3 linked regions of the Schizosaccharomyces pombe genome follow. The main gene of each other region encodes a partner of the protein of the gene in region 2 in a complex. Each region holds a gene or a part of one and is shown on either strand. Other genes may lie near its edges.

The links. Proteins that work in one complex are often made in the same cells at the same time.
Region 1: lsd1 (region 2) and phf1 share a complex: the UniProt entries of both Schizosaccharomyces pombe proteins name them as parts of the SWM histone demethylase complex.
Region 3: lsd1 (region 2) and phf2 share a complex: the UniProt entries of both Schizosaccharomyces pombe proteins name them as parts of the SWM histone demethylase complex.

What each region holds. Positions count from the first base shown.
Region 1 is NC_003421.2:456,064-462,414, reverse strand, and holds phf1 (PHD finger domain-containing protein Phf1), read right to left. Parts: upstream 2,548-6,351; 5' UTR 2,299-2,547; coding exon 913-2,298; 3' UTR 501-912; downstream 1-500. Other genes in the region: mrpl4 (mitochondrial 54S ribosomal protein uL29m), read right to left, coding at 30-464; serine/threonine protein kinase S6K family Psk1, read left to right, coding at 3,005-4,315; GTPase-activating protein Gyp3, read right to left, coding at 5,205-6,351. UniProt on the Schizosaccharomyces pombe protein: Component of the SWM histone demethylase complex that specifically demethylates H3K9me2, a specific tag for epigenetic transcriptional activation, thereby acting as a corepressor.
Region 2 is NC_003423.3:1,012,860-1,022,218, forward strand, and holds lsd1 (histone demethylase SWIRM1), read right to left. Parts: upstream 6,383-9,359; 5' UTR 6,144-6,382; coding exon 3,141-6,143; 3' UTR 3,077-3,140; downstream 1-3,076. Other genes in the region: prp2 (U2 small nuclear RNA auxiliary factor small subunit, U2AF-59), read left to right, coding at 696-2,249; tif1102 (translation initiation factor eIF1A-like), read right to left, coding at 2,473-2,557, 2,610-2,908; protein mug57, read left to right, coding at 6,894-7,463; protein mug97, read right to left, coding at 7,437-8,474. UniProt on the Schizosaccharomyces pombe protein: Catalytic component of the SWM histone demethylase complex that specifically demethylates H3K9me2, a specific tag for epigenetic transcriptional activation, thereby acting as a corepressor.
Region 3 is NC_003424.3:1,101,042-1,107,108, reverse strand, and holds phf2 (Lsd1/2 complex PHD finger domain-containing protein Phf2), read right to left. Parts: upstream 2,342-6,067; 5' UTR 2,246-2,341; coding exon 906-2,245; intron 857-905; coding exon 580-856; 3' UTR 501-579; downstream 1-500. Other genes in the region: nth1 (DNA endonuclease III), read left to right, coding at 1-336; protein Cwf19, read left to right, coding at 3,362-4,774, 4,819-5,086, 5,130-5,368; DNA recombination mediator Rad52 (previously Rad22), read left to right, coding at 5,572-6,067. UniProt on the Schizosaccharomyces pombe protein: Component of the SWM histone demethylase complex that specifically demethylates H3K9me2, a specific tag for epigenetic transcriptional activation, thereby acting as a corepressor.

The DNA.
Region 1 (6,351 bases), on a different chromosome or scaffold from region 2:
GATTTTCTGTTTTCCTAAAAGGAAGGGGTTTAAGAAGATCCCTTTTGTTTCTCGAGCTGCTTGGCAGAAGTATATGCTCTTTGGCGTTCCCATAGGACAAATTTGATAGCTGCCATGGTTTTATTGACTGCAAGTACACGCTCATTTGAGGCTTTGGGAATAGTCAACTGTAAGCGTTTCATTTCAGCCCTTTGTGTGAACAATAGGTTCTTCTCTCGGAGACAATTGTACCAAAGTCCATGTAGATCATTAAAAGACTTCCAACGAAGCTCTTCTGCAGCCCATGCTCTACCGAATTTAGCCTCTTCCGATGGTGGTGGAAGGGCTTGCTTGTCCCGAAAGAAATTCCACAAAGGGTGCGTGTCTGAAACCTTAGGAGCACTTTTTACTTTTGGAACAGGAAATACAAAGCCCTTTGGAATACGTACGGCTGCTTTCTGAGCGCTAGCCAACGTGGACCTCATCTTTGGTGGTAAGTAGAAGGTGCGCTGTAACACCCTGACATTGACCGATAATAATGGTTGTAAGTCATACTTTAAAAATAATTATTTTTTATTATACTTCATTGACTTTCTTAATTATTGCTAAATTGAGAAATTGTTCATTTCCTTATTTTATTTTATTTTAAGATTTCATGGCGAGGAAACATTCCAAACGAAAAGTTTATAATGTAAACAGAAAGTGTGTAGGGCGATTTATGTATTTTCCCTAGATTTGTTATCGAGTGAAAAGTTTGAATCCATGAAGGAAATACTAAAGTACTTTGATTTGCAGCTAATACATGGTGTAATGATACATTGCTTTCGACCGCTTATAAATTTATTTCGAGATTAACGGGACGCAACCGTTTAATTAAAAACGGGAAGTAAAGAAATTTTTTTTGTCTATACATTTAGAAAAATTTGTTCAGTTTCATAAAACAGTAGCACATAAATTTTGAGGATCATCGGTGGGGAAAGAGACAGGCACCAATTTAGGTACCTTACGGTTTCGTTGAAAAGTAGGAAGTAAAGAGGGTTGGAGGTGAGGGTATTCTTCGACTGTTGCTATTTGATAGATGCTACCGGAACGGACCAGTTGACCTTTATTTACCATCCAACGAATGGCCTCGGAAGCGCTGTCGTGAAAAGTTGGTAACAATGGTACGTTTTGAGCAAGCCAGTTAAATATTTCATCTTTGGAAGGTGAGAGGGTGTTACGAATAGCTAACCGTATTAACGTTGGATAGTCGTATAAGGTTCCAGAATTCGCAACATAACTTGCGGTATAGGGGACAGGTGCAGGCTCATCAGAGGGAGCTTCATCTTGTTTAGCATGAAGTCGCTCTTGTAAAGATATTTGTTGGCGTTCAGAACTAACAAGTAGTTGATGCCGAATCTCACCCAACAACTCCCGAGTACGTGGGTTGTATATGGGAAGAGATGGATAAGACTTTTCACAAAAAAGAATAAGATCTGCGAGATGAGGAGTAGGTAAACTTGATAGATACATTTTTTTGTCTGATTCACTTAACCCAAGATCTTGTGCCGTCATTCCCGTTTCTAAAGGTTGCTTGGCACGCCTGTACTGGCATTTCATACAAAACCATTCAGCATCCACATCCTGAACGGTTGCATCGTCAATCGGAGGGTGATGGCAAAGCTGATGATATGGAGAATTGCATCCATCACAAAATACGATTCGATTAGATAAAGGAGAATGTCCTCGTTGACAGACGCTACACAAGGTGACCATATCGACCTTGCGACTTTTCCGTTTCAATGCGGTGGCATTAGGATTGTATGCGACTGGCCGCTGAATCTTTCTACCCGATTTTGTTTTCATTCCTTCCACGTGAAAGTCTTCCTGTAAATCATCCTCGGCACCTTCTGCAACATCGAGATCGTAAAATGGTATACGATTATCGTCTTCCCGACGAGACGATCGAATGCGTCCATTCTTAGTCTTGGTTGATGCAGACTTGGGCAAGCGATTGAATGATACAGACAAAGAAGGATCTTGCTCCGGTGGTACTGAAGTAGCGCCTGAAGAGGAAGATGCAGGCATAGTCATACCGCCATACGGTGTCTGTACATGCTGCTGCAGTTGATGGAAATCAGCGCCAAATGGTCCAACATCGGAAATTCCAGAACCCGATGCGACAGGGGAAGCATCAAAATTCGAGCTGTCCGTTTCTCTAACTACACCTTGAGCCGATACCTGAGGAAGGGATGAATCAGCACCATTTTCAAAATGGAAACCGGCATAGTCATTTACACCATAGCTCTTTCCTTCGTCGAAAAAATTCTTTTGAGACATTGTAAAAAACGAGGACTAATAAATATGAGTAATTTGGAAAATTTTGATTTAAAACGAAATGCACAATTAGATGAAACTAGCAAACATGAAACGCAAATTAAAATGATGATACACGCAATTGTCACGCAGTGAATGTTAATTCAAAATATCTGAGACCATAGAATAACTTTATGTAAAAAGTAAATCTTCCTAAATCTCAATTCATTGATGTAAATTCGCCATTCAACGAAAGATGAGTTTAACACGCGCGTCTCAAGAAGAAGGTATGCATAGGCCATATAAAACTGGCATCGTTTTACAGAGCCAGCCTTACATTACGGTAACAACATAAGCAACAAGACATTTTCATTCGTTAAAATGCACAAAGCACATCGTATAAGACACGTTAATCATCACTAATCTAGCTTCTCGGCATAAAAAAATTTTAAAGTAAAACGCACAATAGCCTATGTAAGCGGTCCAATAAGTAGTAAGTTGATAACTTTAATTAGTAAAGAGGGCGAATCAAAAGCTTTATATATATCTAAACTTTACTAAATTGGCCAATCAGCAATGCGTTTTGAATCAACAAAATGAGGTATGACAAAGAGAATTTCTTGCTCTACATCCCGGCAGTCTTTTGTTCGTCTACCAAACAACAAGGAAAAGGCATTTTGGGCATACATATGCCAAACTTGTGATCCTTCACAGTACAAATTGCTCAAAGATGCCTGTCTTTATGTTTGATGAGCACGACAATTTGAATGAGAATTACAATTCCCATTTGTCTAGTGACGATGAGATTGCAGAGGAGGGATATGATTTTGAAGAATTGGAGGCATCTGCGTCGACAATCACTTCGTCAAGTGATTTGAAGGATGGAAAGAATGCCAAAGATGAAAAGGGGACGGTAGAGTTTAAGGTTGCTGCCCATGGTGATTTTATTTCTTCCAAGGGTGACAACTATGTACCAAGCGGAAAGATGCGTCCAGCAGACTTTCAACCCTTAACGGTATTGGGTCGTGGCTCTTACGGAAAGGTGCTCCTAGTGAAGCAAAAAAATACTGGACGACTGTTTGCTCAGAAACAGCTAAAGAAAGCTAGCATTGTTCTTCGTGCCAAGGGCCTCGAACAAACCAAAAATGAGCGACAGATATTAGAAGAGGTTCGACATCCGTTCATTTGTCGCCTTTATTATGCTTTTCAAGACCACGATCGTCTTTATCTGATATTGCAATATGCACCTGGAGGAGAGTTATTTTCTCATTTGGCCGAGCAAAGGATGCTTCCTGAGGATGTGGTTGCTTTTTATACTGCTGAATTGACTCTAGCATTGATACATTTACATAAACTTGGTATTGTGTATCGGGACTTAAAGCCAGAGAATTGTCTTTTGGATGCTGAAGGCCATATCCTTCTTACAGACTTTGGATTGTCAAAGGTGGCTGAAAATGGAGCTGATTGTCGTTCTTTTGTAGGCACTGAGGAATATTGTGCTCCAGAAATTTTGTTGGAGCAGCCATATGATCATGCCGTCGATTGGTGGTCTATGGGTATCCTCATATTCGATCTTCTTACAGGATCTCCCCCCTTCACCGCCAACAATCATAAGAGAATTATGGAAAAAATCACTCGTGCAAAGCCTAACATACCTTTTTATGTGACTTCTGATGCTAGAGACATTATCAACAAATTTCTCAAGAAAAATCCAAAGCAACGCCTCGGCGCAGATGGTCCCGAGAAAGGTTACGATGCAATAAAAAAGCACAGAATTTATCGCCGAATTGATTGGAATAAGTTAGAGAAGCGCATGCTGCCTCCCCCAATTGTTCCTTGCATCACCAATCCTGAGGCTGCGGAGAATTTTTCAGTCGAGTTTACCAAATTGCCTCTTTCTACAACACCCATTCTTCATGAAGAATTTGGGAATTTAACAATTGGTAGCCATTCCTCTGCTTTTCAAGGCTTTACCTATGTTGCGTCTCCCAATTTTCTCAACTGTGAATTTTTATCTAACAACGCAGTTTCGAACCATTAAATAGGTTTCGCTAAAGCATCATTTACTAAGTGCTTTTTTATTTTATGTGTGAAAAGGATATTTTATTTTAAACAAACTGATTATTCTCACTATATCATAACTCCTTTCATCCTTTAGGGACTCATAATACTTGAAGAAACTCCATTAATTAATCGTTTTCTATCGAACATCGATCCTTAAGATTCTAAGATTTTAATTATAATTACTGTTAATTCTTTCATTAGTTGCTTCTTTACTTAATCCCTTTTCACTAACCATATTATTATTACACAATAGAAAACTTTAATTTTATATATATTTATATACATACTTTACAAAACATCGGTCAGCTTAGTGTTTTCTTTAATATATCAATTGTTCATACTTTATATTAACATTAAAAACAATTTCCTGTTGAAACGAATTAGCAACAAATGATTTATAAAAATACAGACTGAGGGCTAACTACAAAAAATGATAAAACAGTGATCTTATAATGCTATGTTAATAATATCAAGCATGCCGACATTAGTGACTCGATTCCCAGTGTCAACGGGAGATAAAATCGATTGTTATGCAAACAAGAAAGAGGCAATTATACAAAAGAGACATATAAATAGATCGATTTGCAAAAATAATGGCATATGCCCGAATAAAACGAGTGTATAGTGGAGTCAATGACTACCTAAAATAATAATCTGCTGAACAAATAAGTGATGGAACGACGTTCATACAAACATTTCAAAATTAATAGAATAAGGGCTGTTCAATGTAGCAATGTAAAAAAATAATAAAAATCTGAACCAATCAACCAAATTCTTAACGAACAAGGGCATTCATAAAATTAGTAACGAGAGTAAAGGTTTGACAGGTTTGACAATGGGCAAACTCAATTGGTAAACAGACATAACTAAGTAGACTTCTTCAAGTGATTATGAAGCTGAGATATTATATGCGACTTGCTGAATCGTGATGATGAACGACTAAGGTGATGTTTCGAAGAATCACTCATTTCAAGCTTTGAAGCAGAAGAGTTACGCTTTTTTGCAACCTTTTCTCTTCGACGCTCTATATCCTTTTGGGAGGGAGTGCGCCTAAAATTCCTTCGGAAACACAAGGAGAGAAATGCATTAGCGTCAAGTAACGATTTGGGTAAATCTTGAATCACCTGAAATACCTCTGTCTGCTCACTTTTCGACTTTATATCATCTTCACCAAGTCTTAAAATACACAATGCCGTCATAAACAAAACTTTGCTGCCTTCATAGAAAAAACAATCCCATACACGAAGAGCAGTCTCCGTAGGTAAAATGCCAACAAAGGCACTCATAAACCAGGCAGCAGTTACGAGAGTAATGGGAGGAAGCTTTGCCACAATATCATTGACGGGTATACCATCAAAATTAAGACTGATGCGGCTCCAAACCGCTGGTAAGCTTTCTCGAACGGATGCCATCAAAACACTTTGGTCGATGTTAGCACCTTCTAAATTGGCATCATGCATCTTTGGTAAATATTTACGACACGTAATTACGAGCATCCAAAACGCCTTTTCTTCACTCATAAAAAGCAGGAAGAAACCAGCAAGAAAATTCAAGCTTTGACAGTAACCATTTTCAGGTAAGTATGTTGCAAAAGTCATTAGAACACGACGCAGTTTTGAAATCATTGGAACATCAGGCTCCTCTGATGAATGCTCTGATGCGTCGGATGAGTTCCTAGAATGCTTGGATTTATGTCGAAAATGTACATTGTCTGGAAAGGTACGATATAGATCACGTTCAATAAGGTCAGAATCTGAGGGCTTTTTTATGCACGCACAACGCCATAGAGTCTCGTACAGTTTAGGGTTTCTCTGAAGTAATTCGTAACCACCGCTGTAATAAAACCAGGCATTGCCACGATACTCGGGTGGTATTCCTTTGCGAATAAATCGTTGAGTTTTAGCACTGCGGCTAGGAAAAATACTAGGAGATTGGTGTATATAGTCTATACCGTTTTCTTGAAGGAAAAGCTTCCATCGCTGTTCGCGACGCTCCAGGTAGCGGCTGTAAGGG
Region 2 (9,359 bases):
CGTCTTCTTGTGTAATAAAGTAAATTTTTAAAAGATTGAACATACAATTTAAGAGCATGGATTTCAAGGATAAAATGAGACAAACATTAAATCTATCGTGGATGTACTGGCAAAAAAAAAACGAAAATTATTGAATTTCATGGCAGCTGTAAATTTTTAAAGATTGCTTTAAAAGAAAGCCATACAATCAAATACTATGGTCAAAAGAGAAAAATTCGTTAAAACTTAGGAGAATGGTACTAGGGTAAGGACAACAGTTTAAATAAATGCTTTTGAAAATTTAACTGCATTCGTAAGTTACAGTGTTGTCTATAATGCAAGTTTAGCGAAAGTTGCTATTTGAAACTAAAAAGAAAATGTAAGTCAACAACGTTGTGCTTAAAATTACGACGCTGGCGAAGTTACTACAAACTCTCACTACCTTAACTTAGTAAGTCGAAACTTTTGACTAACCTTGGGCGTATCACATAAAGAAAAAATAAGTTAATTATTATTGTTCATGTTATAAATTTTTTTTAGCAAGGAATCCAAGAGCATTGACGCGCATATCATTTCATTAGAATTTGTACTTTTGTATTCCCTACTTTCATCAAAGTTTTTTCCGGAGAATTTAAGAGTTCATTTTAATAAACGAATTTCTTCCCTCCCTTCTTTTTTGAATAATTTTTTAAATAGCCTCATATTCATTCACTAACATGGATTTGTCTTCCAGATTATCATCAGGTTCTTCACGGATACCCAAGCGACACAGAGATTATCGCGATGAAGAACCTAGACGAGAAAGAGGTTCGGGTGGGATAGGAAGGGAAGACCCGAGAGGCCATTATGGCTCTGAACGACCTAGAAGACGTCGCCGAGACGAAAGTGATTTTCGTAGACATAGAGAATCTCGTGAAAGAAGTTATCGAGAGGATGAGAGGCCAAGAAGAGAAAGAAGATATGATGATTATGAGCCTCGATCATTACGTTATTCATCTGTCGGAAGAAGTAGAAGTCCACCTCCCAGCCGAGAAAGAAGCGTAAGGTCTATCGAACAGGAACTCGAACAATTGAGAGATGTAACACCAATAAATCAGTGGAAAAGGAAGCGCTCTTTATGGGACATTAAACCACCTGGTTATGAATTGGTTACTGCTGACCAGGCGAAAATGTCTGGTGTTTTTCCTTTGCCAGGCGCTCCTAGAGCTGCAGTTACTGATCCAGAGAAATTGCTAGAATTTGCTCGCTCTGCGGAAGGAAGTATTATTGCTCCCCCTCCGCCCTTACAACCAGGTGCTAGCAGACAGGCTCGTCGACTAGTGGTTACTGGAATTCCTAACGAATTCGTTGAAGATGCTTTTGTATCATTTATCGAAGATCTATTTATTTCAACTACATACCATAAACCCGAGACAAAGCATTTCTCCTCTGTCAACGTCTGTAAAGAAGAAAACTTTGCTATTCTTGAGGTCGCTACTCCTGAAGATGCCACCTTCCTCTGGGGGCTTCAGTCCGAATCATATTCTAATGATGTCTTTTTAAAATTTCAAAGAATTCAAAATTACATCGTCCCTCAAATTACCCCCGAAGTTTCTCAAAAAAGAAGTGATGATTATGCCAAGAACGACGTTTTAGATTCAAAAGACAAAATTTACATTTCAAATTTACCTTTAAATTTAGGCGAAGATCAAGTGGTGGAGCTACTTAAGCCTTTCGGTGATTTATTAAGCTTTCAATTGATAAAAAATATTGCAGATGGATCTTCGAAGGGTTTTTGTTTTTGCGAATTTAAAAATCCTTCTGATGCGGAAGTAGCTATCAGCGGTCTTGATGGTAAAGATACGTATGGGAACAAGTTACACGCACAATTTGCTTGTGTAGGTCTCAATCAAGCTATGATAGATAAGTCTAATGGAATGGCCATTTTGACAGAACTTGCTAAGGCGTCATCACAATCTATTCCAACTAGAGTCTTACAATTACATAATTTAATTACTGGGGACGAAATTATGGATGTACAAGAATATGAAGACATATATGAGTCTGTAAAGACCCAATTTTCGAATTATGGACCACTTATAGATATAAAAATTCCTCGTAGTATTGGCACTAGAAACTCGGGATTAGGAACTGGAAAGGTTTTTGTACGATACTCCGATATCAGATCTGCAGAGGTCGCAATGGAAGAGATGAAAGGTTGTAAATTTAATGATCGCACGATTGTCATTGCTTTTTATGGTGAGGATTGCTATAAAGCTAATGCATGGTGATTTCAGTTTCAATGAAAAGGTTAGTATAATATCTTAATGTTAGGGTAATAATATCAGTATTTCTCATTGGATTGTTTAAAGTGTAACAAAGTACTCAATTGTAATGAGCGATTGTGGGATGAAGTAATTCTTGCAAGCATTTCCCGTTATACGCTTTTTATCATCGGTTTAATTTACAAGGTTCGTTGTAAGGATTCTTAATATATGTATTTTTTGTAAATTGTTAGTCACTATCGTATTCTTCCTCGCTACTGCTGCTTTCCTCAGAATCGTTTTGATTTAACGATTCATCTGCAAACTCTTTAGGCCTTTAAACTAGTTAGCACAATCATCTAATGTTATTTCAAGAGAATTTCTTACCAATAAATTTGTTTTTTCCAATTTTTTAAAGGGCTTTGTACCACGTACAATATAGTACCGTCAATTTTATTGTCCTTCTCTAAAAACTCAGATTTATCAACTATTACAAACCCATTTCTCCTAACCCATATTTTATTACGATACTTTGGAGGCATCTCAACAAGTAATTCCTGTCCATTGTTTTCTACTACCATAAAAAGCGCAGATCCTTTAAGTTGCACAACTTTGGCGACGACTTGATCTTTTTCCAACCTAGCTGGTGGATCAAACGAAATTTGACCGCCATATTTTTTTGACATATTAGTATTTCTCTAAAGAGCTCGTATATATGTGATAACCAAGCAAATCGTAGAGAATTGGGTTTATGGTGGTTAGGAAGCTTCGACAAGTGGATTTACAAGATGATATGCATTTCATAAATGTCATTCCTTTCTATGAAAAAATAAAATTTAGTATACCATTATAACTTAAACGTAAAAATTGATCTTTATCTCATATAAACTACCCTTAAAAAAAAACTTTAAATGAAGCTCATGAGAAATTGTCAGGGAATACTTCACTTATTGAATCCTCATAATCTAAATCATCATGATAATCATCATCACTATTTTCAACGGACATGCCCTCTTTTTCAGGATGTAGATGTTCGTCCTCTTGTTCAGCAAGTAATTTTAACTTAGCCTCATCTTCAGGAATTGGTTGAGATTCACATCTTCGCTGATGTTCGGATTTAATTTGGGCAACTCTCACATTGTAGGAATTAATTTGACGTTGATACTCTTCCAGGCGAGTTGAATAATTTGCTCGTCTCGCGTTAATTTCATCAACCCATGGTTGTTTACCTAAACTATCCAAGGCTCGCCATGTCTTTCCCAATTTTGCACGTATCTCATTTTTTGTGGCACGTGCTTCAGGATCGCCAGTAACTCTTTGTTTATCCTGATCTGCTAGAGTTTTACAAACGTGCCATTGAGTTTTTTGGTACAAAAGGTAAGGATTAGCACTAGGCCTTGATGGTGGAACAGGAGACGGTCCCAATAATTCGGCAATTAGTAAATCACATTCTTGCTGTTCTTTATCAAGTCTTTTTTGTCTCAAGCGTAAATACTCGGTATGGTATGAAATGCGCTTTTCCTTATTTTCTCTTTCTCCCTCTTTGCCTAAAGCTTGTTGAGCATTTCGCTTCGTGCCGTACGTTTTACGGGGTTGTTCCAAGTTTTCCTCAATAACGAGAGTGTTAGGTAAAACAACATTGCCTATTAACGAAGCCAAAACATCTCTAGCAGCCAGTATGCCCGAATCAAATGCGCCGCGTATCGAACCTGAATTTTTTTGGGAAATTGCTTCACTAGCAAAAAACACAGTATTGTCAATGGGCTCAGACAATATTGCATAATCCTCTTCCAAAAACAAATTGGATATTTGATATGATGAGTGATTTGTATAAGAATTATTCTCCCAGTTACTGATAATCGTTCGAATAGGATTTATGGCTTCTGATTTCGGTTTATAAACTTTTTTAAGTTGAGATACAATCCCATTCACTATATCATCATCCTTCATAAAGTCGATCCCTTCAACCTTCACAAAGACTGATAATGTGGGATGTTCGTAAAATCGAGTGCAATCGTTAAATATAAAGTTTCTACCTGAATCTTGTGGTAGTGAACCAAATATACTTATGTTTGGTTCCCAGAATTGGGTTTTAAAAATGAGGATAACCTTTTTCACATTGGTAAAATGACATCTATCAATAGCCTTTAGCTTCTTTTCTTCGAGAGGCGGCTCGAAGGTAATCAAATGGGTATTCAGCTTGTCCATAGGTATACATATAACCACTTTATCGACTGAAACTGTTGTTTCATTTACAAATGATAAGTTAACCGTATTATCTTCTAGCTTTACAGTATGGACACACTGGTCAAAAAGAATTGGAAGTGGAGAAGGTGTTGAAGCAAGGGAGTTTAGCATATCCGCCATTCCATGTTTGAAGGAATATGAAGCGACATTTTCACCTAATAATAAATTCAGGTTTGGAATGCTTCCCGGATAAACATTTTCAAGAGAAACAGAGAGTGATTGTGAAAGGTATTCCTTAAACCATTCAAAAATTTTTAAATCTAAAACAGTAAGATGCAATAAAGAAGTGAGGGTGTTAGCCGAATTACCAAGAAATTCAGACAAAGTGTCCTTTATTTGTAAAGGAAAGGCTTCAATTGAAATATACCAACCAATTTGGTCAAGCTTTTGAATGAATTCTTGCTCAGGAGGAGTAATCAACGAATGAAGGGGCTGTTTACTAGCTGAAGCATTGAAATAAAAAAGTAAAGCATCAAATAAACGAAAAATACGTTGAACATGTTCGGTATCAATTCTTCCATTTTCGATATCATGTAAGATAAACTCTCTATTTCTAGTATGTACTGCATCTAACGAAAGCTGTTGTGAGGAAATTATGTATAAGGGGTCACTGTCGAGCGTGGGCATTCCGATTAAAGAATCGGTCAATAAGTTAACCATACATTCATTTGTGGCATTCACAGTTGTAGCTAGAGAACTTTTTTCACTAACTTCATTATCACTCAATGGAACCATATGGGTATAGATATGGCCACCCAAACGTTCACTAGCTTCGTATATAACTATGCGAGGAGGTTTTTCTCCCCGGCTTAAGAAATCTTGCTCATATTGAGCAAATAGGTTGGTTAGCTGGCGAGCACAAGATATTCCTGCCATGCCTGCGCCTATAATAGCAACAGTTTTTTGGGAAAGAGATTCATCTAATTTTAGGGAGGATATAATATATATACACCCATAGTTTATGTGACCGTTACGAGACAAAAACTCAAATGCCAGAGAAGCCAGTGGAAATGCTTTTTTTTCACGAACAATACCAAGAGCTTCATTAAATGATACATAAAGAGTCGGGTTTCTATGCCAAAGGTAACAAATGCCATTTCGTATACTTAAATAAAGAGAAAGCCATGTCGGATTCTCAAGGATTTCAGAAAGCATCTCAGCTTCTAGAGGCGAGAGAGCATTTGGTGGAAGATTACTAGCTATAGCAGATTCATAGCAAAGTCTCTCGAAAGTGACACGCGGTATGGCAGGGATGCTGGATTTAACAGATATAGGAGCCTCCGCGGAAACATAGCGCGTACCATTTCTTTCAAGAGAATTAGAAGTATTTAGAGCTGGTCGACCTCTACGACCAGCAGGTCTACGCCCTTTTATAGGTAATTTTTGCAAAGATAGCACCTCCTGGGATTTTTCTAAAGCTGATGGCTTTACTTGGGATAAACCGTTGATATTCGTTGGAATAGAGGCTTTAGAAACAGTCTCAGACACGGGTCTCTCACTCAATTGACTCAAATCAAATATTTCCTGCTCAACGGAGACACTTTCGTTACCTCCTTCATGTACATTGTCAGAAGATTGGTGACCAAATATGGCCCACAACGAAGGGTCAGATGATTGTGCGTGCGTATCTTTTAAAACGTCCGAAAGAGCATCTTTCGAAGACAAATCCATCATTTCAACATAATCATTAGACAGAAGCTTTCGTCCATGAGTTGCAAATCGGATTGCCAAAGTTAAAGTGTGTGCTAGGTAAGACGCTGTTAGGCGTACACTCTCCACTTATAAGGAGACTACTTTTTGGGGTACTCACGTAAATTAGATTACTTTGTTTCAATAGCAAAATAGCTTAAGAAAATAACATTAATAAATATTACAAGTGATGGGTTGTGTTATGCGATGTGATATAGTATTATGGTTGAATCATATTTTTTGAACACAATGTTTATGGAACTAATGGTGACAGAAAATAATGAAGATTACCATCTAACCAAACGTCTACAAGTATCTTCTATACATAATAAACTACAATCAAATTGCATAAAGCAGTTGGGTTTAAGAGTGTGTCTAATTACATACATGGTGTAAAAAACAATAGTTTATAATTAGGTAAATATCTATCACTTTTAAGAAAAACTAAGAAAACAAAAAAGTATTAAATTTTAAAAACTTCTTAATCGTGTTTAAAAAAAAAAAAAAAAAAAAAATTGTTATGTCGTAACAACAACCAAAGATCTACCGTTCATCAAATCGTTGTTTTTGTTAAAACAGGCGTTTTTTTCCTCTATTACCAAGTCGCTTACGTTTACAAAATTGGATTATTTAACTTTTGAAAAAAATTAAGTAGTTCTAATTGATGCCAATTGATTTTTTCTTTTTAAGATTACCATTTGTTAAAGCAGTGTGTCTTTAATAACACCCTCCAAAATGATGAAGCTGTTTTGTCTAAACATCTTTCGTTTCCTTTATACTACGAGTTTTATTAGTGCAGTACTCTCTTTTAACCAAAGACCTATCAATATGCAAGAAGTTCGTGAACCAAGGCTCTTTGAATTGCTTGCCGAAACAAGAGATTGCAACATTTTTTCTGAGCTTATAATGCAGTTTCCTGATTATGTTCATCTCTTCCAACAAAAAGATCAGCATATCACTGTCTTGGTCCCTAATGATGCTGCATTTCAACAGTGTAAAGTCAAACCTTGGGCAATTGAATACAAAAATGGAGTTGCCGTTAAATCCACTGACATAGTTCATATTACTGAGCAACAAGCCCAGGACAATATTCTTAAATTTGTCGAGCGCCACATAATTACTTCTTCACCTATTGAATGGAATAATGAATATAAGACAATCGATGGTACAGATGTACATGTTATTAAAAAGGAAGAGGAGATCTATATAAATGAGTCTATTCATGTTCTCTGCCGTAAAAAAGCAAGCAATGGGGAAATGTGGGTACTAAATGCCACTTTATCTACACCAAGTATTCGAGAGTAGATAAAGGAAGCTACCTATACTTCCGATTCCCAAATTGAGTAACATTCCATGTGCGAATGATGGGTCAGAGAGTCTCATCCATAGACCAATAAGTACGGATCCGCCAGCGCTAAATAATAGAAGAGATAAAACCCACATATTTATTTTATATATCGGTATAATTAATAACTCTTCACTTCCACTTGCTTCTATCTGCTCATATCGTTCTGCGACTGTACGACATCCAGGATGTGTATCAATCTTGCGTTCAACTATTTCTCTACGCATCACCTTTTCTGCCCAAGGATTCCACCAATGCTTTCGGCGCAAAACGTATTCGCATTCAGGTCCAAATGAAATTCCTTGTAAAACGTAGAAAATAGATGGTCGATTTTCACTGCTAAAGTATTTTGCATACGCCTCCACTAACTGATTATCGTCGTCTTTATCGAAAGGCAAGTACCATCTCGAATAATGCTTATGGTATAAACAAACTCTAACTTGATTCTCATTTTTACCCGACTCATGTTTCAATAAAGCTGAAGGTCCTGGCAAACCTATTGTAGTATTTCTGGGAAGCGAACCAGCTGACCCAGCAATAGCTGTTGTCGCGGTAAAAGGTTTTGTAGGGGTTTCAGAAATTGAGTGACGGGTGGTCATTGGAACTTGGATTTCCCATGAATTACCCATTTGAGGGCTATATTCTGGTAAACTCATCTGTTTATGAATTCCAGAAGCTCCATTCATTGCTTCATGATAAATCGAAGCGGCACGATCTTGATGACTTTTCACATTTCTCTCGGTTTCACCTCTGAAGTAAGGTTCGCTCACTTTTTGCCTTTTCGGCACATGTGTGTCTTCCTTATTTGACAAGTTTCTTGTCAACGGCTTGTGTAATTGTGTCTTGGTAAAGCCAAATTGATTGATCTGCAAGGGTTGCAAATCGAATTCACCCTTCTTGAAATCAACTTTACATTCCATATTTTGATTAGTGTCAGTCATCATGCATGAACCGCTGTTCAAAATTGACATTCTAGCTAAACGATGTTTCGATCTTGCAACCCTGTACAGCTAGGTTGTACTTCCAAAAAATTTGTAAAAGAAAAGCTTTTGCTTATAATTTCTACAGAAGTACGTGTTGTTGGTTAAGTTTAGTTATGCAATCTAAGGCTTATAAACAAATGAGGTTTGTTTTTTTAAACGAATGGGAAGGGTGTCAGCCAATTTATTTGTAAACAAATAAATGCTTACCTAAATATTAGCATATGTTTTTTTTTATTGAATAGTCAAAGCAGATATAATTCTTGTATAATTGTTTTATGCCTTGTTAATATGTTATTATGACAATACAATTACCACCTTAATGAAGCGCGATTTAACCATATTTTAAGTAAGTTATTGTTGATTTTATATTTTCAAACGTCCCCAAAAAATTGTAAATCCGTAAAGAGCTTCAAAAATATAGAATATCGAATAATGCATGCTAGTTGACTGTCATTTTTGTAAGTCAAAATAACATTAATAGATAGTCTATTTTTTACTAGATTTTATATCAAAAGAATATATAATTGTTTTGATCACAAAAATCTCATATGTCTTGTATATTATCAACATGTTAAATGGTATAGAAGCCGTTTTATTGTTTGATTGGGCTTCACTTTTAGTAGCAAATGCGATTTTAACATTTGGAGATCTTTTTAAGCTGTTCGAAGAGTAAAACTATTATGCAGGAAAAGTACTTGGTAATTGAAAACTTGAGCTCAATAAATATCGAAAATATCGTTTTCATTACTCTAACCTCAATGGCTACAAGAATGAAGCTTCAGCAAGTATTGTTCAATTAAATAACGTATAAAAATGAGGTTATTTATCTTGAGAATACTTAATTATTTACTAAGGACTCCTACAAAATTTAAG
Region 3 (6,067 bases), on a different chromosome or scaffold from region 2:
GTCAAAACGATTAAAAGAGTCAAAAAAAGACCTGCTTCTGAGTCACCTCCTCTATCTCCACTCTCCCTTCCTACAGATGATTTGTATTACCAAAGCATCGAAGATAAATCACTTATAAAACTTGAGGACTTGGACCCTGTTGATAGTATATCACACATGAATGAACCTTTGAAAAAAGAACCAGCCGCTGATATTGATGTAGATCAGAAGCCACCTGTCGCATTCCATTCAACTACAAAAGAAACTAGGTCACTGCGCAGGTCAAAGCGAGTTGCAAAAAAATCATCCCAGTATTTCTCCCAACAAAGTTTACAAGATATTGAAGATCTGGTTTAATTTATTTTTAGGACCGTAAATTTTGGACAACATAAATCTGTTATTTATTTACATGAATTACTCAAAATTATTTATTCTTTACAACTCCGTCTTTAAACATATTCAAGAACCTTTTGCTACTGACTGTATAGTTATAATATCCTCTACCTTTACTTTTTAATAATTTTTTTAAATCTTGGAATAAATTGAAATCATTAATGTTGTTATACCCTTCAACAAACAATGCAGAATGTAAGATACTCGTTAAATACTACTAAGAACAATTGGAGTTTCGTCGAACATATAATAAGTACAAAAGTTTTCGGTTAAATCCTCTGTGTGAGGCGTATACAGCATCCAATCGATAGGAATGGGGCCGGTTATAGATATGTCAGGGCGCACTGATGGTCGATCGGCATCAAACGTTCTGTTCAGTTCATAGCTGCTACCCCTCGCATCACGTAAAACACGGTTTTTACGGACCAGTCTGTTTAAGCTTCGAGTTATGTTCGAATTTTTAATTTTTCTATTCGAGTATTTACTAGAATATTAGTAATTGACGATGTCAGGAAAATATATAGAAAACTTACGCTTGAATAGTGTTAGTGATAGTAGAAAAAGAAACAGCAGCAGGGAAAGATTCTAAAACTTGTAAAACTATTTCATCTTCATTGCTATATTCTTGTAAGTATTCATCTATGGTAGGAATTTTTTCACTCTCCATGTATTGCTTATCCACTTCAACTGGTTCGGTCGAAGGTAAGGACGTCGAATGCTTGGTTGTTTTCGATTGTGATTCTGTTCCATTATTTAGACTTAGATACTGATCTCCCGTTACAGGTTCATTCATAGTAGCTGTAAAGGCAGACCTTTTGCTTTGGAGCTCTTGGACAATAGTGGAAGTTTTAGGACTATAGAACGGGATGTCGGGATGTAATTGCTCACAGAATAATAGGATGTCAACCAGTTGGGAGATCGGAAGACTTAAAAGATAAGACTTTTTCTCTTCCGAAGACAGATTTAGTTCTCGTGCCGTAGTTCCAGTTACGAGAGGCGCTTGCTTTTTTCTCCTAATGCAATCATCACAAAACCATTCTCCATTGGGGGAATCTAAAAGTTCATCAGAAATATAGGGTTCATGACAAAGTTGATGGAATGGAGTGTTACAACCATCACAGAAAACGATGCGATTTTTTGGTGGAGATTGAAGTCGTTGACAAACCGAACATTTCATAGCTAATGCGACCACAGGTCGACGACCTGGGCCACGTCGTCTAGTAGGTAATTTTACAAGGGGATCGAAATGATTAGGGCGATGCACTTTTCTTCCTGATTTTGTTTTGACACCTTCCAAATTAAATTGCTCTTCCCTACCATCTTCAGTAGAAAAGAGGGCGTCAGCGGTGTTGTCACGTTCAATAGCCAAACTGGCAGGCCATGATCTTTTCCGAGCAATGTTCATAGCAATTGACATAGGAGGTAATGGCGATGAACTTGCAGGAACATTTGGGGGTAACGCAGATTTTGTTTGGGAATCAGCACTTCTATGATGCGCATAATTAGATGAAGATGCGTCTTCAGTGAAAGGTGCCTGTTCGCTTTTTGCATCGGTTTCCTGATTTTTACTAGATTCTATTTCTTTAGCAACATCATCATTTTTGTACGAACCGAAAGCACCTGACTCCTTGTTTGGCTCGTGAAAGTGTTGGAACTGATTTTCCAAATGCATGTTTGAATTCACGTTAGGATTTTGTATATCCTGAAAGGCTTGATCTATTAGCACAGAGCCTCCATTTTGATTAGATTCCTCCCCCTCAAACATCGTTGGATGCAAATCATTGGGAAATCGACGACTACCGTCGAATTGAAAAGGATATGATGCCGCTTCAAAAGAACCGCCATCGTCGTCATAGTACGATGAATTCGGCATTAGGTTTTAAATCATTCATATGCTCATGTAAAAAACAAATGAAAAAATGAAGCAAATGGCAAAAAATGCGAATGTGTAAGTTCAACACGCGTGTTTGGAATTTAGGTGAGATTTAACGCAACTTATAAATCGTTTGCTGCTGTTACTCCAATTATGTTTTGCTAGCGAAATGAGATTGATCATCACTATATCTCGCTTATTCACTTCTCACTACAACTCACTGTCTAGTCATATATAAATACTGCACGTATCCATGAAGAGCTGAAATCTCACATTTATTAGAGCTTTTTTATTTTTAATTTTGTTAAATTTAATTATTCATGCATTAACTAGTCATAGCTATAAATATGAATGAAAATTTGGTCTTTCCTTTGTTTATATTTCCTAGATGGCCTAACAGCTATAATTGATTGAACTTGTATGCTATTAAAGGCGATAAACAGACTTCTTTAGTACTTTGCTAAAGAAAATATAATTGCAATGATCCAATTACACTGGAAATACAGGTATAAAAAATCGTCACAGTTTGGAAACAAACAATGCTTTTTTTTCTGTGGCTGTTGTGTAGCTTTGCTAGTATCATAAACTCATTGTACACTAGCGCAAGACACACTATACAGTAGTTAGCGCGAGGTATTTTATTATTCTTTCCAACTTATTTGTAATGAAGTTCAAATAAACAATGGGTAATTTAGTACTACTAAAGTCCTTGCGTTATTTAAAAGGTTTTTGTTTGAAGTTAGTGGTATATATTTTGGAATCCTAAAGTTATTGTATCGCCTTTCACTGTCAATGTGGAATACTGCAAAGGCCGATACTCCTTCTTTCAAACTTAATTGTTTCACTTTCTTTTCTTTCCATTTCAACGCAATATTTTACAATTTTTTTTAATTTAAAAGAGAATTCTGATCATTGTCTAAACTAAACTCCTGGCAAAACTATCATTTGCGTTGCTTGTTTAGATCTGCATAGTGCCTGAACCACTTGACTTAACGAATGTACTACTACCATCGTTAAGTTACAATAAAAACATTATTTCCTTTTTCCCACCATTTTGCCTCTAATTATTGTTAAAAATTATTTATTTCATGAATTAATATTAAAATAACGTCCATTATGGAAAAGGAAAAGCTTACAAATAGGACCAGTACTCACAAATTCAATGAAACTGACAGAGAAACAAATCACTCTAGAAGGCATCGTCACCACCACTCTAGGCATCGTGAGAGCAAGCATGGACGACATGATCGCAGTGAAAGGCCAAGCTCTAGAGAAGCAGGTGACCGAAGTAGGCATGAAAGATTTAGTAAAGAGCCATTGGAGGTAAAGAAACTTCCTGTTGAAAATGAATACTTTGACTCCAAATTCGCTTCTGCTTCTTCCATGCCATCCTCCAAAGACAATCCACAGAATAATGACTTTACTAATTCATTGCAAGGTTTGGATTTTGGTACGTTCGGTTCGCGTATACAAAGAGAACCTATTGACCGAAAGTCCAATAAGCCTGGTGAAATTTTTGTTGGTGCAACATTACAGAATGAGAGTTCGACGAGTACAGAACATAAAGATATAGAACAGCTTGAAACCGAAATTAATGAGTCAGGAATTAATTACAAAATTGGTGATAATGGCTCTCGATGGCGTATGATGAAGCTCAAACGCGTATTTGACATGGCTCAAGACCAACGACGCCCCGTTGAAGAAGTAGCTCTGGAACGTTATGGTTCATTGAAAGAATTTGATTTTGCCTTGGAAGAAAGAGATGAGTTAGAGCTTCGAAAACGAACTCGAAAAGTTCAGAAAGAAGTTCCTACTGGCGAATTATATGAAAAACGATGTGCTGATGAATTTAAGACTAGAAAAGATTCTGGTAATGGCGCTACATACTACAAAGTAATACCTGACCCTTCTGTAAATAAAGATACTCCCACTGAAAGCGATTTGAATAGATTAAAAGCTGATTTGTTACGTGCTCAACTTAAAAAGGATCCTAACTATGAGTCTTTAGAAAGGGAATATCAGAAAGCTTGTGATGACTTCGAAAACTCTTTACACCCTTCGGAAAATTCTAATTCGCAAGCAACCATACCATCAAAAAAAAGAAACTTCGACGATCCTACTATTGATGAGATGGTACAGGAAGAAAAATTGTTGAATAAACAACGGAAATACGGCCAGAATTATGAATACGCAAAGCAGATTGCAAAGGATAAAACTTATTCTAACAATCTGGATTATTTGGACGAAAATGCAGGGAAACTTTCTAATCGAATGAAGCGCGGAGACGTCAGTCTAGCTCAAATTAGTAGTGGTGGGGATCTTAAAAAAATTAATCATGTTTTGGACACTTGTCCTCTTTGCCTAAATTATGAAACACAACCTTTGGCACCAGTAATATCTTTAAGTCATCGTGCTTATGTTTCTTTACCAACTCAACCCGAATTAGCTAAATATCATTGTTTAATTGTTCCTACAGGACATCGGATAAATACCCTCAGCTGTGATGAGGATGAATGGGATGAAATCAGAGTATGTTAATATAGTAAAAGGAAATAACTAACAAACCTTTTTAGAATTTTATGAAATGCATCGCCCTAATGTTTGATTCCATGAATCTTGGTGTTATTTTTTATGAAAACGCGCCTTCACCACAAAGATATATGCACACAGCTATTGAGTGTATTCCAGTCTCTAAAAGGATCCTCTCACTTGCACCTGCTTACTTCCGTGAAGCTTTGTCTACTTCTGACGAGGAGTGGTCTCAACATCGAAAAATTATTGATACATTAGAAGGTTCGAAGAAGTATGGAAAATGGGCTTTTCGAAAAATGATGGTTAAGGGTATGTTTGGAAAATCGTAATCATTTATTTTACTAATGATTAGAATTGGGTTATTTTCATGTTTGGTTCAGTATTGATGGTGGCTACGGGCATGTCGTGGAAGACGAGAAGGCATGGGGGAGGCACGATCAAGTTCCTAGGCAGGTATTTGCCAGTATGCTAAACCTTCCTCCTGAAGTAATCAGAAGGAAAGGTTCTTGGACAGGTAAAAAAGATCCACGCGAAGATATGTTTCGCAGTCGTTTTGAAAAATTCGATTGGACCAAGGGATTAATTGATTAGTAATTACGAAAATCCTTTAATTCAAATAAAATTTTGTTTTTATTTTTGTATCTACATTCTTTAAGTAATATTCATTACTGATGATTTGTAAGATCTTTATTTTCATTAAGTGGTTACTCGCTATGCTACCTTATCTTTCTTTATTACTTGGTACCTGTCCATGTGCACACAGCTAATATACTGCTTCATATAAGCTAGAAGGGATGTCTTTTGAGCAAAAACAGCATGTAGCATCAGAAGACCAGGGCCATTTTAACACAGCGTATTCTCATGAAGAGTTTAACTTTCTTCAAAGCTCCCTAACTCGAAAGCTTGGACCTGAGTACGTTTCAAGAAGGTCAGGTCCTGGGGGTTTTTCAGTCAGTTATATTGAGTCTTGGAAAGCAATTGAGCTTGCGAACGAAATTTTTGGATTTAATGGGTGGTCTTCGTCGATACGCAGCATTAATGTTGACTTTATGGACGAAAATAAGGAAAATGGACGTATCAGTCTTGGCTTGAGCGTGATTGTTCGCGTGACAATCAAAGATGGTGCCTATCATGAAGATATTGGATACGGTTCTATTGATAATTGCCGTGGAAAGGCTTCAGCGTTTGAGAAATGCAAGAAAGAGGGCACTACAGATGCCTTAAAACGCGCTCTACGAAATTTTGGAAACAGTTTAGGAAATTGCATGTATGACAAATACTATCTTAGAG